Danio rerio: one gene and its partners. The protein of the gene in region 1 binds, or shares a complex with, the protein of each later gene. Links are inferred from orthologs where the notes say so. Each region holds a gene or a part of one and is shown in the gene's direction. Other genes may lie near its edges.

What was found.
Region 2: the proteins of siah1 (region 1) and axin1 are in contact, whole or in part, in a crystal structure (PDB 5WZZ), measured with the Homo sapiens proteins. The link is inferred for Danio rerio from reciprocal best matches to the Homo sapiens genes SIAH1 and AXIN1. Residues at the interface, in NP_003022.3 of Homo sapiens: Cys130, Pro131, Ser154, Thr156, Leu158, Asp162, Ile163, Val164, Phe165, Leu166, Ala167, Thr168, Asp169, Val176, Asp177, Trp178, Val179, Met180, Asn272; in NP_003493.1 of Homo sapiens: Pro378, Lys379, Glu380, Val381, Arg382, Val383, Glu384, Pro385, Gln386, Lys387.
Region 3: the proteins of siah1 (region 1) and usp19 are in contact, whole or in part, in a crystal structure (PDB 4X3G), measured with the Homo sapiens proteins. The link is inferred for Danio rerio from reciprocal best matches to the Homo sapiens genes SIAH1 and USP19. Residues at the interface, in NP_003022.3 of Homo sapiens: Cys130, Pro131, Thr156, Leu158, Gln159, Asp162, Ile163, Val164, Phe165, Leu166, Ala167, Thr168, Leu172, Val176, Asp177, Trp178, Val179, Met180, Asn276; in NP_006668.1 of Homo sapiens: Lys463, Pro464, Thr465, Cys466, Met467, Val468, Pro469, Pro470, Met471.

What each region holds. Positions count from the first base shown.
Region 1 is NC_133193.1:19,853,637-19,857,288, forward strand, and holds part of siah1 (E3 ubiquitin-protein ligase Siah1), read left to right. Parts: intron 1-3,280; coding exon 3,281-3,652. UniProt on the Homo sapiens protein: E3 ubiquitin-protein ligase that mediates ubiquitination and subsequent proteasomal degradation of target proteins.
Region 2 is NC_133178.1:42,753,844-42,758,145, reverse strand, and holds the start of axin1 (axin-1), read left to right. Parts: upstream 1-1,425; 5' UTR 1,426-1,714; exon of another isoform or gene 1,715-2,205; intron 2,206-2,235; exon of another isoform or gene 2,236-2,372; intron 2,373-2,406; exon of another isoform or gene 2,407-3,133; intron 3,134-4,302. UniProt on the Homo sapiens protein: Component of the beta-catenin destruction complex required for regulating CTNNB1 levels through phosphorylation and ubiquitination, and modulating Wnt-signaling.
Region 3 is NC_133198.1:23,057,544-23,061,195, reverse strand, and holds part of usp19 (ubiquitin carboxyl-terminal hydrolase 19), read left to right. Parts: coding exon 1-109; intron 110-1,488; coding exon 1,489-1,655; intron 1,656-1,737; coding exon 1,738-1,913; intron 1,914-3,652. UniProt on the Homo sapiens protein: Deubiquitinating enzyme that regulates the degradation of various proteins by removing ubiquitin moieties, thereby preventing their proteasomal degradation. Stabilizes RNF123, which promotes CDKN1B degradation and contributes to cell proliferation.

The sequences.
Region 1 (3,652 bases):
CACAAAATAAACATTAGATCATAATATTGAACTATAGACTTGTATAGTTTAAATGCGAGTTGTATGAATGGAATTTTGATTTACTATATTTGCCATTTTTACCTTTAAATTCCTCCATGTGTAATACAGTCTCAGTGAAAGTAGTAGACCATTCTGGCAATTTTCCCCCACTGTTTTACGATTACTACACGTTTGAAAGCACTATGCACTTCACATACTAAATAGTAGAGAAGTAGGCTAGTTTGAACTTTGTTATACTAGTTCTAGTGTGTTTCTTTGTGGTTTTAGTTAAATGCTTCAGTACAGAGCTCCTCCAGACATGTGATCGCCTGTAAAATGTTTCTTTACAGTTATAAAACAAATAGAGGTTTTGTCTGGGTGTTTAACCACACATCTTACCATATCTTACTTTATTCTAGCAACATAAATACCATGGCTTTGGTCTTTATGGACTTACAAAAATATATTTGTTTAATACAGTGTCACTTTGGATAAATGCATTTGTAAAATTATAATGCAACACATGCCTCTGCATCTCCCTAAAATCTTGATCCAGGAACATGTGTAAATCTTGTTCAACATCCATTTTTATGGTTAGCAGTGCTACACTTGGAAGCAAAACTATGTTTGTTTGTTAACCTTTCAAATCCACCAAGCCTAGACTACAAGCCTAGAAAGGCATTGAGGACGTGGTGCTAGCTGTTGTGCTCAGGCTAATTTTGGCCTCAGTTGTTATACTCGGAGAGCTGCTCCGTGAGGAGGCTAAAAATACTTGGGGCTTTATCAGAGCAGATGTGTTTACTAGCAGATTCTAAGCCACCTACATACACACACAGCTCACTGTCTGTCCGCACCCCCACTCTGCTTTCTGGCACGGTCCTGGTTCTCCCACACGAGACGATTTACTGCGCTCTGATCCTGCCACGCTGCTCCTTTCTTATAGTCTCTTTATTCCTCGCTTAATTGATGTCAGTGTTAAATCAGCAATCAGTCTTATTCATTTGCTCCCCTGTGCTGATTTACAGATACTTTTTTGCCTCCTATTGATTGCTGTGTAGATGTAGGTTATATATAGCGGTAGGGTGTTACAGCTGGGTCACACGCTCCTATCTTGCATCCATTGCAAATCCTATACTTCTCTCCACAGGTCGTCCCATACACATTTACACTTTGCTCTGCAGATTGTTGCCATAGGAACACTCCTGTAGCAGACATGCGCCTTGGCCCTCTGAGTCCACTCTCCATGTCTGGCTTTAAAGAAAAAAAGCCAATGCATGACTATCTGTGCATTTTACTCATGCCAAAAATAGCTTCCCCAGAGCCCCACGTCTGACTTATCGGTGCCACTAGATGGCTATATCTGAGCCACTGAGGGAGAAGAGACATTGCCAGGCACACTGCGCTGCTCAGACTCTTTCATAGCTCTATTTGAAGTTCATGCTGCTTGAATCAGCAGAATCTGGATGTACCTTTTATCCTGAGGCCACGTTTTAAAATGTCTATTGATTCATGTTGAGGAAACAGAGGTGCTCATGTGCATTAGATGCCATCTGATCAGTGTTTCTGTGTGATCAGTGTTTCCTGAATTCCTTCTTCCTATGGACATTCACAAACTAGCACAATCTTTAGTGATTGGAACTACACCTCTAGGCCTGTTGGTAGCATAGTTCCTTGCTGTTATTTTCTGAGTTATCACCCTATTAATTCCACACACGTCAGCCAATTTGAGTAATTTTGAAAGCTTAAAGTTTTCTTGTTCACATTTGATGTAATTTCCAGACAGAAGAATTTTTTAGTTTTAGTTTAACGATCCTCTGACTGGCAATTGTGGTCTCTGCTTAGTGCACTAATGGCCCATTTCCACTGAGTGGTACAGTAAGTGCCAGTACACTTTTATGGCCATTTCTACTGTCAAAAGCAAAAAATTGGTACCTAGCACAACAAAAGGGTACCAAAAATCACAGCTAGACATGCAGCTAAAGCTATTGGTTTACAGAGAAATGTCACTAGCGCGTGCACAAGCCAGGAGAACAAAAACAAAGGAACCGCCATTTTCAAAAAACATAGCTGAGACATTACACCATGATAAATATATACAAATAATAACAATAACAATCTGAACCTGAAACGAACCTTTTCTTCATCTTAATGAACAGCCACAAACCCAAGAAGAAGAGCAGAATCTACATGTGTCCTGTTAGTTACGAGGTCGCCTAAAGCACGAGTGGTTTCACTTTCTCCAGAGAGCTCGCATGCGCGTCTGTATTTGAAATAAACCTCTTGAGCTAATGATGATAATAACGTGCACGTCATTATTGAAGTGCTTCTGACATCTGATCCTTTCAGAAACGGACAAACACCAGAGTGAAACTTGAAAAAACAGGAGCAAGTGATTCTTTCAGCAACGTAAAACATGAACAATCTGCCATGTTTAACCATCATCATCACCTTTTGGATTATTATGAACCCGGAATGACTTTTTTACAAGAGGTTAACATTACATGTGCTGGTGAAAAATAAGATGAGAGGTTTGGACTGACTGTATTTGTTTTAATCGTTTATGAACACAAATAAGGCCTAAATGTAAGTTTTGGGGAATTGTTTATTTGTAATTGGTAACATTTTAGAGACTGTAAGGGTCTGTATGTGTTCATAACTGTTTTATTTTATACAACCGCAGATGATACAGTAGGCTATTTCACATTATCATTGATCTGCAGCTTTAATCAAATTCTGTTCATAGAAAGGCAGTAATACACATATGTTTAAATAGCATTTGTTTAGTAAGGAGTGCTTCTCCTACGATATGTGAATTCAATCAAGAATGACGTCGACTGCAGGTTTCTGTCGAACGCCACGTCCACCAGAAGAGTACCATTGGTACTCTTTGGCAGTAGAGACACGAGCCTTAAAGGTGACCCATACTGAACCTTACCGTACTGTACCACTCAGTGGAAATGGGCATGAAAACATTTATGCTACTCTTAATGCAGCAGTGGCATCTGTTCAGATAAAGCAATTGCCCCTTGATCATCATGGAAGTTTTGCATTTACCTAACCTGGTTCAGACAATCTCCAACAGAGTTTGTAAAACATTTGTGACTACATAGTTTATTTCCCAAATGATGCCTCGTACTGTGGTGGTTTAGCTACGTGTTATACTTCATTGTTTGGGAAACACACCCCTGCTCATTGTTGTTCCTTGTAAGTGCAAGCAAATCCATTACCTTTGGCCATCTGTGTTAGCCAGTCTAACTCTCTTCTCTGTCTCCTCTTGTAGAAATGAGTCGCCAGACTGCCACAGCGCTGCCCACAGGAACCTCTAAGTGTCCCCCTTCTCAGCGCGTTCCAACTTTGTCGGGCACCACAGCATCCAACAGTGACCTCGCCAGCCTGTTTGAGTGCCCGGTCTGTTTCGACTATGTGTTGCCGCCCATCCTGCAGTGCCAGAGCGGCCATTTGGTGTGTAGCAACTGCCGGCCTAAACTCACCTGCTGCCCCACCTGCAGAGGCCCGCTTGGGTCGATCCGTAATTTGGCAATGGAGAAAGTGGCCAACTCAGTGCTTTTCCCCTGCAAGTACGCCTCATCGGGCTGCGAAGTCACTCTACCGCACACAGACAAAGCTGAACACGAGGAGCTTTGTGAATTCC
Region 2 (4,302 bases), on another chromosome or scaffold:
GTGTACTATAAACATTATATAGAGGTTGTATTAACTGTGAACAGAGATTTACAATTAGATGAATATATGTACAGGCTGCTATAAACAATCAGTGGTATGCAGATAGATATGAACATAATTACACTTGTATTTGTGCAGAGGATATTTAAATTCAAGATGAATTAGTGCAATTTTAGAGTAAAACTGTAAACTAGCAATATCATTGCAATAAAAATGACTTCTTTTATGTCTGCGTATTTTAAAATGTAATTCAATACAAACATACTATTATGAATATTGTGCTATTTCAAATTGATGGATTTTCTGCAATAGAAATCATTTGTATCATTAACTCAGTTTTATTGAATTTAATTCACTTGTGCTGTATAAAAATATTGATCTCAAAATATCAATAAAAGCTTTTGAATGATAGTGTATTTAAAAATACCCATAAAAGCATAATTATAATATTTAAATATTGTATATTTCATGTTTAAAAACTCATAAACCCTCAAAATCTGTCAAATAAATGTGTTATTCTCTGATTTCGTGTTCCTTTTAAAAAGAAATGTCTCTTTAAATATGTAAACTTCTACAGCTTACGTCTTCAAATGCTCAGTTTATACCGTATTTTGTACTGCTAAACAACAAGAAGCACCTACTCCTAAGAGCATATAATGTCTCTCTACAGTAGATGAATATATGTACAGGTTGCTATTAATAATCAGAGGTATGCAGATAGATATGAACATAATTACACTCGTACAGTATATGTGCAGTGGATATGTACATTTAAGATGAATTAGTGCAATTTTAGAATAAAACTGTAATTAGCAATATCATTATGACTTCTTTTATGTCTCTGTATCTTAAAATGTAACGTAAAACAAGCGTCAAATAATTATTAATATTGTGCTACTTAAAATTGATGAATTCTCTGCTTAATAGAAAGTTTGACATAATCAGTTGTAAAATAACTCACTTTTAATTAATTTAATTCACTTGTGCTATAAAAAAAATTGATTTCAATGTTTAGAAAATGTCAATAAAAGCTTTTGAATGATAGTGTATTTAAAAATACCCATAATAGCATGATTATAATATTTAAATATTGTATATTTCATGTTTAAAAACTTATAAACCCTCAAAATCCCTTAAAAAAATGTGCTATTTTCTCGTTTACCCTCATTCGTGTTCCTTTTGAAAGAAATGTCTCTTTAAATATGTAATCTTCTACAGCTTCCGTGTTCAAATGCTCAGTTTCTACCATATTTTCTACTGCTAAACAACAAGAAGCACTCACTCCTAAGAGTATATAATGTATCTCTCCCTCCCTGAGTCCAGAAACCCCCACCTGAGTCACCCCACCAACCCAAGCGCAGGGTGCTGAGGGGCCACTGAGACTAATGGCCAGCTGCTATTTTGCAGTGACTTTCTTTTCTCACTAGTCACATGGCTGTTCTTGAACGCGCGGCGTGCGGAATCGAAACTGTCTTTTCAATGAGAGTCCACCACTAGCCCACGCAAGCCCCAAAGACAGCACGATGTGAAGTCCCGCAAACAAGACAAAGTGTGTGTGGTAAATTTGTTTGAGAGTGGCGGCGCCAATGCAAATGCAAGTGGCAGGCAATACCAAGGATCCTCGCCAGAATGGAAAATCGGTCATTGTGGGAAGGGTTTGCTGGGTCTGACCCTGGCTGCTACTAGACAAGCAAGTGTGAAATCCGTATGAAAGGTAAGCAGCTGATAACATTACCCAACAAAGGCAATATCATCTTCTTGGTTCTCGACGTTTTCCTTTCCAGCACTCTCATATCTGCCTACGCCGATTTTCTCCATCTCGTCTCGCTGCGTATATGTGTATTTCACCGTGGTCAGTCTGTTGTTGTTTGCTTGTGGTGAATGAAATGCTCCCAAACATCAAACAGCAGTGGCGTTGAGCGCTGTTTGAAAAGGACCGCTACTCTGTGGTCTTTGTGCTTCCCTTTTCATCCCGCTCAGAATGGGCAGCATATCAAACAGTTTTGTTTTCCTTTCAGAGCTCATTGCGTTTGGCTGTAATCGTCACACTTTTTCGGCCGATGATATCCAGTTGCTTTTCTGATGTTTACTTTGCAATTAGGAGCACATCACTCATGCCTGTGGGGTCTGTTGCCATAGTTACAATAGGGTTCCGAGGTCTATCATCTGGTCCTCGCGTCCACCAATCAGGTTGCAGAGCTGAAGCTGCAACATAAAGTAAAGATGCACATCTTTCAGCAACACAGTTGTAAGAAAACAGAAAGAGATTCATGAGTAAAAGAAAGTACTCCGGGGTGGCAAGTAGGCGACTGCGCCCAGTCATGGCGGACGGCAGAAATCACAGCGGAGGAGACACCCAGCAGGAGAGGCAGGTGAGAGCATCAACCATTTTGAGACTTAACTCACATTATTGTTCTTGGAGTCTTCTCCGTGAAATGTGCTGGTCAACGAGATTAGCATTAGCAGTGCCAATAAACGGCCGAAGAATGGACTGTGAACGTCAGGCAAATGAAAGCGAGAAAAAAACGCCGCAGTTTTCAATATGATTCTTGAAGCCTCTTCACATCCATTTCTTTTTCTTCCCAAAGCGCGATCAAAGAACTCCAGCTGGGCTGTTGTTTGCTTCTGGTATCTATTTTTCCGTTAATTTGCGAATGGGAGGATTCGTCGCGTAAACTTAATTCGATTGCTCCTAGTATGCATATGTCCATGTCTTTGTGTTTTCATGTGTGTGTGTGTGTCTCTCTCAGTGTATGAAATTGGCCTAGATTAATCATAGCACTCCAAATCTCATTACTTGGAACATCTGAGGGAACGCTGTCTTTAAAGGGCTCTTTGGAGGGGGCTTTCAAATCGGGCCTTCATCAGATCAAAGGCCTCAGATCTGGGATGAATATTTGTCCTCGGCGGATATGTCTCGAGATAATCAAGCATGGTCAGAGGATCCACCATTGGGTGAAGCACAGCAGCGAGGGCTCCATGTCCTCGCCGATTCCCGACCGAGCCGTCTGAGAGCCTGTCGATATCCAGCGAATGATGTCAAAATAGCGCACCAAAGGGGGGCTGGGTGGAAAGCAAGAGGATAAAGAAAGATGGAGGGGAGGACCATCGCCAACTAAAGCCAGTTGTGCTTAAAGATGGCGGCCGGGGATGCCGCAGACTGCGTAGCACGAGACCAGATCCGTTGAGGCAATCGGGATAGTCTACGGTGAAGTTGAGGTAACTGTGAAGGCGGCATGTGCATCGATTGTGTAACGTTGATAATGGCGGCGGTACGCCGAGCGTTATTTGCCACTCTTTCCTACTGTTTTTATTGTTTACATCTCTCCCGGCCCTCTTGCTTTCAAAGCTTCAATTGTTGCGACCGCTTGCTGTGCATTTCAAGCTCGTAGCATCGGCTCGCCATTTGTTAGCGAGCAAAATCTTTCGCCTATTATTAGCGGTCATTAGCGGCGCATTGTTTGCCGATGAATTGTAGCGAGCCGCATGTTTTCCTATGGAAACATTAATCAGTAGTTAGACAAACCTCAAGCAACAACCTGTTTAATCCTGTGTGGCTAATCCACCCTTGGCCTTGTTAGTCACGATTTATTCAGCTATGACAAAAGATATCAGCAGGACTCCAGAGGACATTCTGACAGTCTTTAGATAGCACCTTTCTCCCAAGACTTGGGAGCGCTAAAAAGAGCAGCTTATCAATACACCAAAGACATTTTCCCTTTCTGATGTCCCAATCATTCAAATATAAATCAGCTTTTCTCCAACCGGACCCTCGTCGCCTTTGTTTCGCAGTACTCCTATAGCCTAACCATTCCAGGCATGTGCGTCTTTGTCTATTGTCAGTTGTATCTCGAAAATCTCAGTTTTTCTCCCCCTCATAATTCAAAGCCTTATTATGCCACTTTTTTTTTTACAGAAGTGCTAAAAGCAGCCTTGAAGTAACTTATTTGAAGGAATAATTATCTTTTGTAGAAATGAGAAGAGCAGCACTCAGCTTTAACATCTAAATGGGCTATTGTCAACTGATCAGGCTCCTCAAAAGATAAGCCTATTTCAAGCAAAGCCTACGAGGAGGGGTAAATTTGCACTGGCAGCTGTAACAAAAACCAACACAGAGGAATGCCGGCCAGAAACGGGGTTTCTTTCTCCCGTCAAGAGGACTTATATCATGACATTAGGGTAATCTGTCATTATTAGCACTCCTAAGGTTTGCTGTTAGTTGCACCAACTTTCCATTGCGAATAACATGTTAAAGTTATCATTTAGACCAATCGAACATCTGTCTGGTTTCTAGAAAGCAAA
Region 3 (3,652 bases), on another chromosome or scaffold:
TCCTACTTTGGCGTCTTCCGAATGTACTCATCATCCAGCTCAAGCGCTTCTCATTTAGGAGTTTCATATGGAGGGACAAGATTAATGACATGGTCGATTTTCCAGTCAGGTATACTGAAAGTTACTCAAAGTTTCGTAGACTTTCACTTGCACTGGTGTTTGAATGCTTAAATTTTCCCTTTCACAATTAAGTATCTACTATTCACGACAGAAATAACATTGTACTTAGAAAAGTGAACTGTCTTATTTATCAATATGGCAACTTGATTTTGCGTTAGATTCAGCGATGGCAGAATCACGAAAAATTAGGGGGTTTGTTAAAACGTCTAATATAATATAATATAATACTTTTTTTTTTCTATAATGTATTTTTTATGACGTTATTTCACGTGTTTAACCTATTATTATGGTTAGGCTATTTTTCACTGCCATTTAATTCCTTTCCCACTTACCACCTGTTAATCAAATGCAGTCACCAGTCTGTACCTGTTCAAACACAGTCAGTGCTTGTGTCTTGTCTACTCAGTGCTTACCCAGTCCCTCTTTAATTTTGCATCTTAAAATTTAGATTTACAGTGGCGTTTTTCAAAATGTCCAGCAATATTTGTGTCAGTTCTTGTTTTGCTGTGAAAATATAGACATTATAGTTCTTATAACTTTTTTGACAATTGGTCTTTGTAATTTATATAAAGAAATCACTGAGAGAAACAAAGAGTGAAAGCATTTACCTCTTAACCATTTGAAGCCTACTAAATCCTATTTGATACATAAATGGCTCTTAAAATCTAGCAATAGTAAAAGCATGTTAAAATGTAAAACTAATTGTGAATTATACATCAAATGTAGCTTTGTTCAGATAGGCTTTGCCCGAATGAGTGTTGTGATAAAGTCACATGATACATAGTCACTGACCTAAGGAGAAGTGCAGTGTTGTGCCATGTCTATGAAAACTCAAGATATAGCACACCAGATTTGCACTTTCAATTCGTGAATATAATGTTATTTAATATATAACAATGCATATGGCACAGCAGAAATCTTAACGGTGTCCTGGCTGGTCAAAATCCGCATCAGGTAAAAAATGACAAGCTCCTCTACATGTTGTGCCATTTACTTGATTTTGGATTAAATTCAGTAATCTCAGAATGGCTGACTGGTTTTCTATTCATTATAGGTTATGGTAATTCGGCTTTCAAGTCAGTGAAACAAACCGAAAAGCCAGAGAATTTGATATTTGGCTTAGAGTCGAAATCCCAAATTTAGCTGCTTTATGCCTGTCATGTAAATATGTTTCTAAAACTTCCACTGAATAATTCATTCAGATGATCTATTTTTCAAAGTTATACGGGATAATATCAGCTCACACATCATTAAAACACCATTGCAATATTATCATAGTCACTCCCTAGTTTTGTGTGTTGTATAATTTGATTTAACCACCTAATAATGTTATAATGTTTAACCTGTTTAATTTCCTTTCCTTATTAGAAACTTGGACTTGAGTAAGTTTTGTATTGGTCATAAGGGTGACATCCAGCAGCCGCCAATCTATGATCTGTACGCTGTCATCAACCATTATGGTGGAATGATTGGAGGACACTACACAGCCTATGCTCGTCTTCCCAGCGACAAGAACAGCCAGCTTAGTGATGTTGGTATGTCTGAGCTCTTCTGAATTCAAAACATCTCTTTGGCTGTCATGTAATGCCTATTTCTGCATGTCTTCTGCTATTTCAGGCTGGCGTTTGTTTGATGACAGCACAGTCACGACGGTGGAGGAGAGTCAGGTGGTGACGCGTTACGCCTATGTGCTGTTCTATCGACGCAGGAACTCTCCAGTGGAAAGGCCGTCTCACCTGCTGGGACCCCTTGGCGCTGAATCGTCTGCTGCCACAGGTGGTGCTGCCAGTCAGGTGAGCTCAGCACCTTCTTATGTCACCGCAACCCAGTGGAAAAACCGTTTCATCTTAGTCGTGCTGCTATGTGCTTGCTCATTAATACTGCAAGGGATTGGGTAACATTCCTGGTGGATGCTCAACACTGACAGTAGGGTGTTTCTCCATCATTCATTTTTTAATGAGGTCTCACTCAGACAACATCAGCTGATTATAGTCTATCAGCTTTGGGAGATTACTTTCTCTTGGATGTTCTGGAGCTTATCTTGAGTTGTGACTAATAGATGATTCTCAAAGCATTGAGCATTGATTGAGTCGATTTGATCACTTTTTTGTTTGTTTGTTGGGTTGATTTTTTTTTTTTTACTCATGATTTTGTGGCTCTCAAAAGGTAAAAATATACAGCACATTGATCTCATTATGAACAGTGTCAAAACGTGCGTAAACAATTGTACAGCAAATTTCCAAGACAATCAATGTTAGCAATGTTAGCTAACATAGTTAGCAATTAACAATGTTAATCAATGTTAGCAACAAGCTAGAAAAGTTTACAACATGCAAATTCATATTTTCACCATATTGGCCAACATGTTAAAACATAATAGCAACATATAAAATGTGTTAGCAGCATGATAAGTAAAGTTAAACACACGTTGTTGTGTTAAAAATGTTACAAATATTGTCAGTATGCTAGCATAGTGTTGTAACTGCTAAAAAAGAAGTTAAGAAATGTTTTTATATCTTTATGACTTTACCTTAAAGAAGCACTTCACATTTTTTGGAATTAGTCTCTTTTTACAAGTCCCCTAGAGGTAAACAGTAAAGAGTTTTACTATTTTTGAAGTCAGCCGATCTCTGTCTGACTAAAGCACTTTTAGCTTAGCTTAGCATAAATCATTGAATTGGATTAGACCATCAGCATCTCACAGAAAAAAGTGATATTACATAGACACAATGATTACAGTGCATCCAGAAAGTATTTATAGCGCTTCACTTTTTCCACATTTTTTATGTTACAGCCTAATTCCAAAATGGAATAAATAATTTATTTACTTAAAATTATACACACAATACCCCATAATGACAATGTAGAAAAAAAAAAGATTTTTTGAAATTGTTGCAAATTTATTACAAATAAAAAAGCTTGAAGAATCACATGTACATAAGTATTCACAGCCTTTGCATATTACAATTACATTTTGCAATTACAGCCTTAAGTCTTTTTGAATATGCTGCCACAAGCTTGGCACAACTGTATTTGGGAATTTTTACCAGTTTCTCTTTGCAGTACCTATCAACTTTATCAGGTTGGATGGGAAGCGACTGTGTACAGTCATTTTCAGATCTCTCCAGAGATGTTCAATAGGATTAAGGTCTGGGCTCTGGCTGGGCCACTCAAGGACATTCACTGAGTTTATTAGTCTCATTCACCGAATTTTAGTCCCATCAGACCAGAAAATTTAGTTTCTTATGGTCTGAGAGTCTTTTGTCAAATTCCAGGCAGGGCGTGGCTTCCATCTTGCCACTCTACCATATAGGCCTGATTGGTGGATTGCTGCACAGAAGGTTGTCCTTCTGTTAGATTCTCCTCTGTCCACAGAAGAACGCTGGAGCTCAGACAGAGTGACCATCGGGTTATTGATCACCTCCCTGACTAAGGCCCTTCTCCCCCAATAACTCGGCTTAGATGGCCGAACTGAAACTAAAACATGTTACCGAATGATCAATGGAAACAGAATGTATCTGAGCTCAATTTA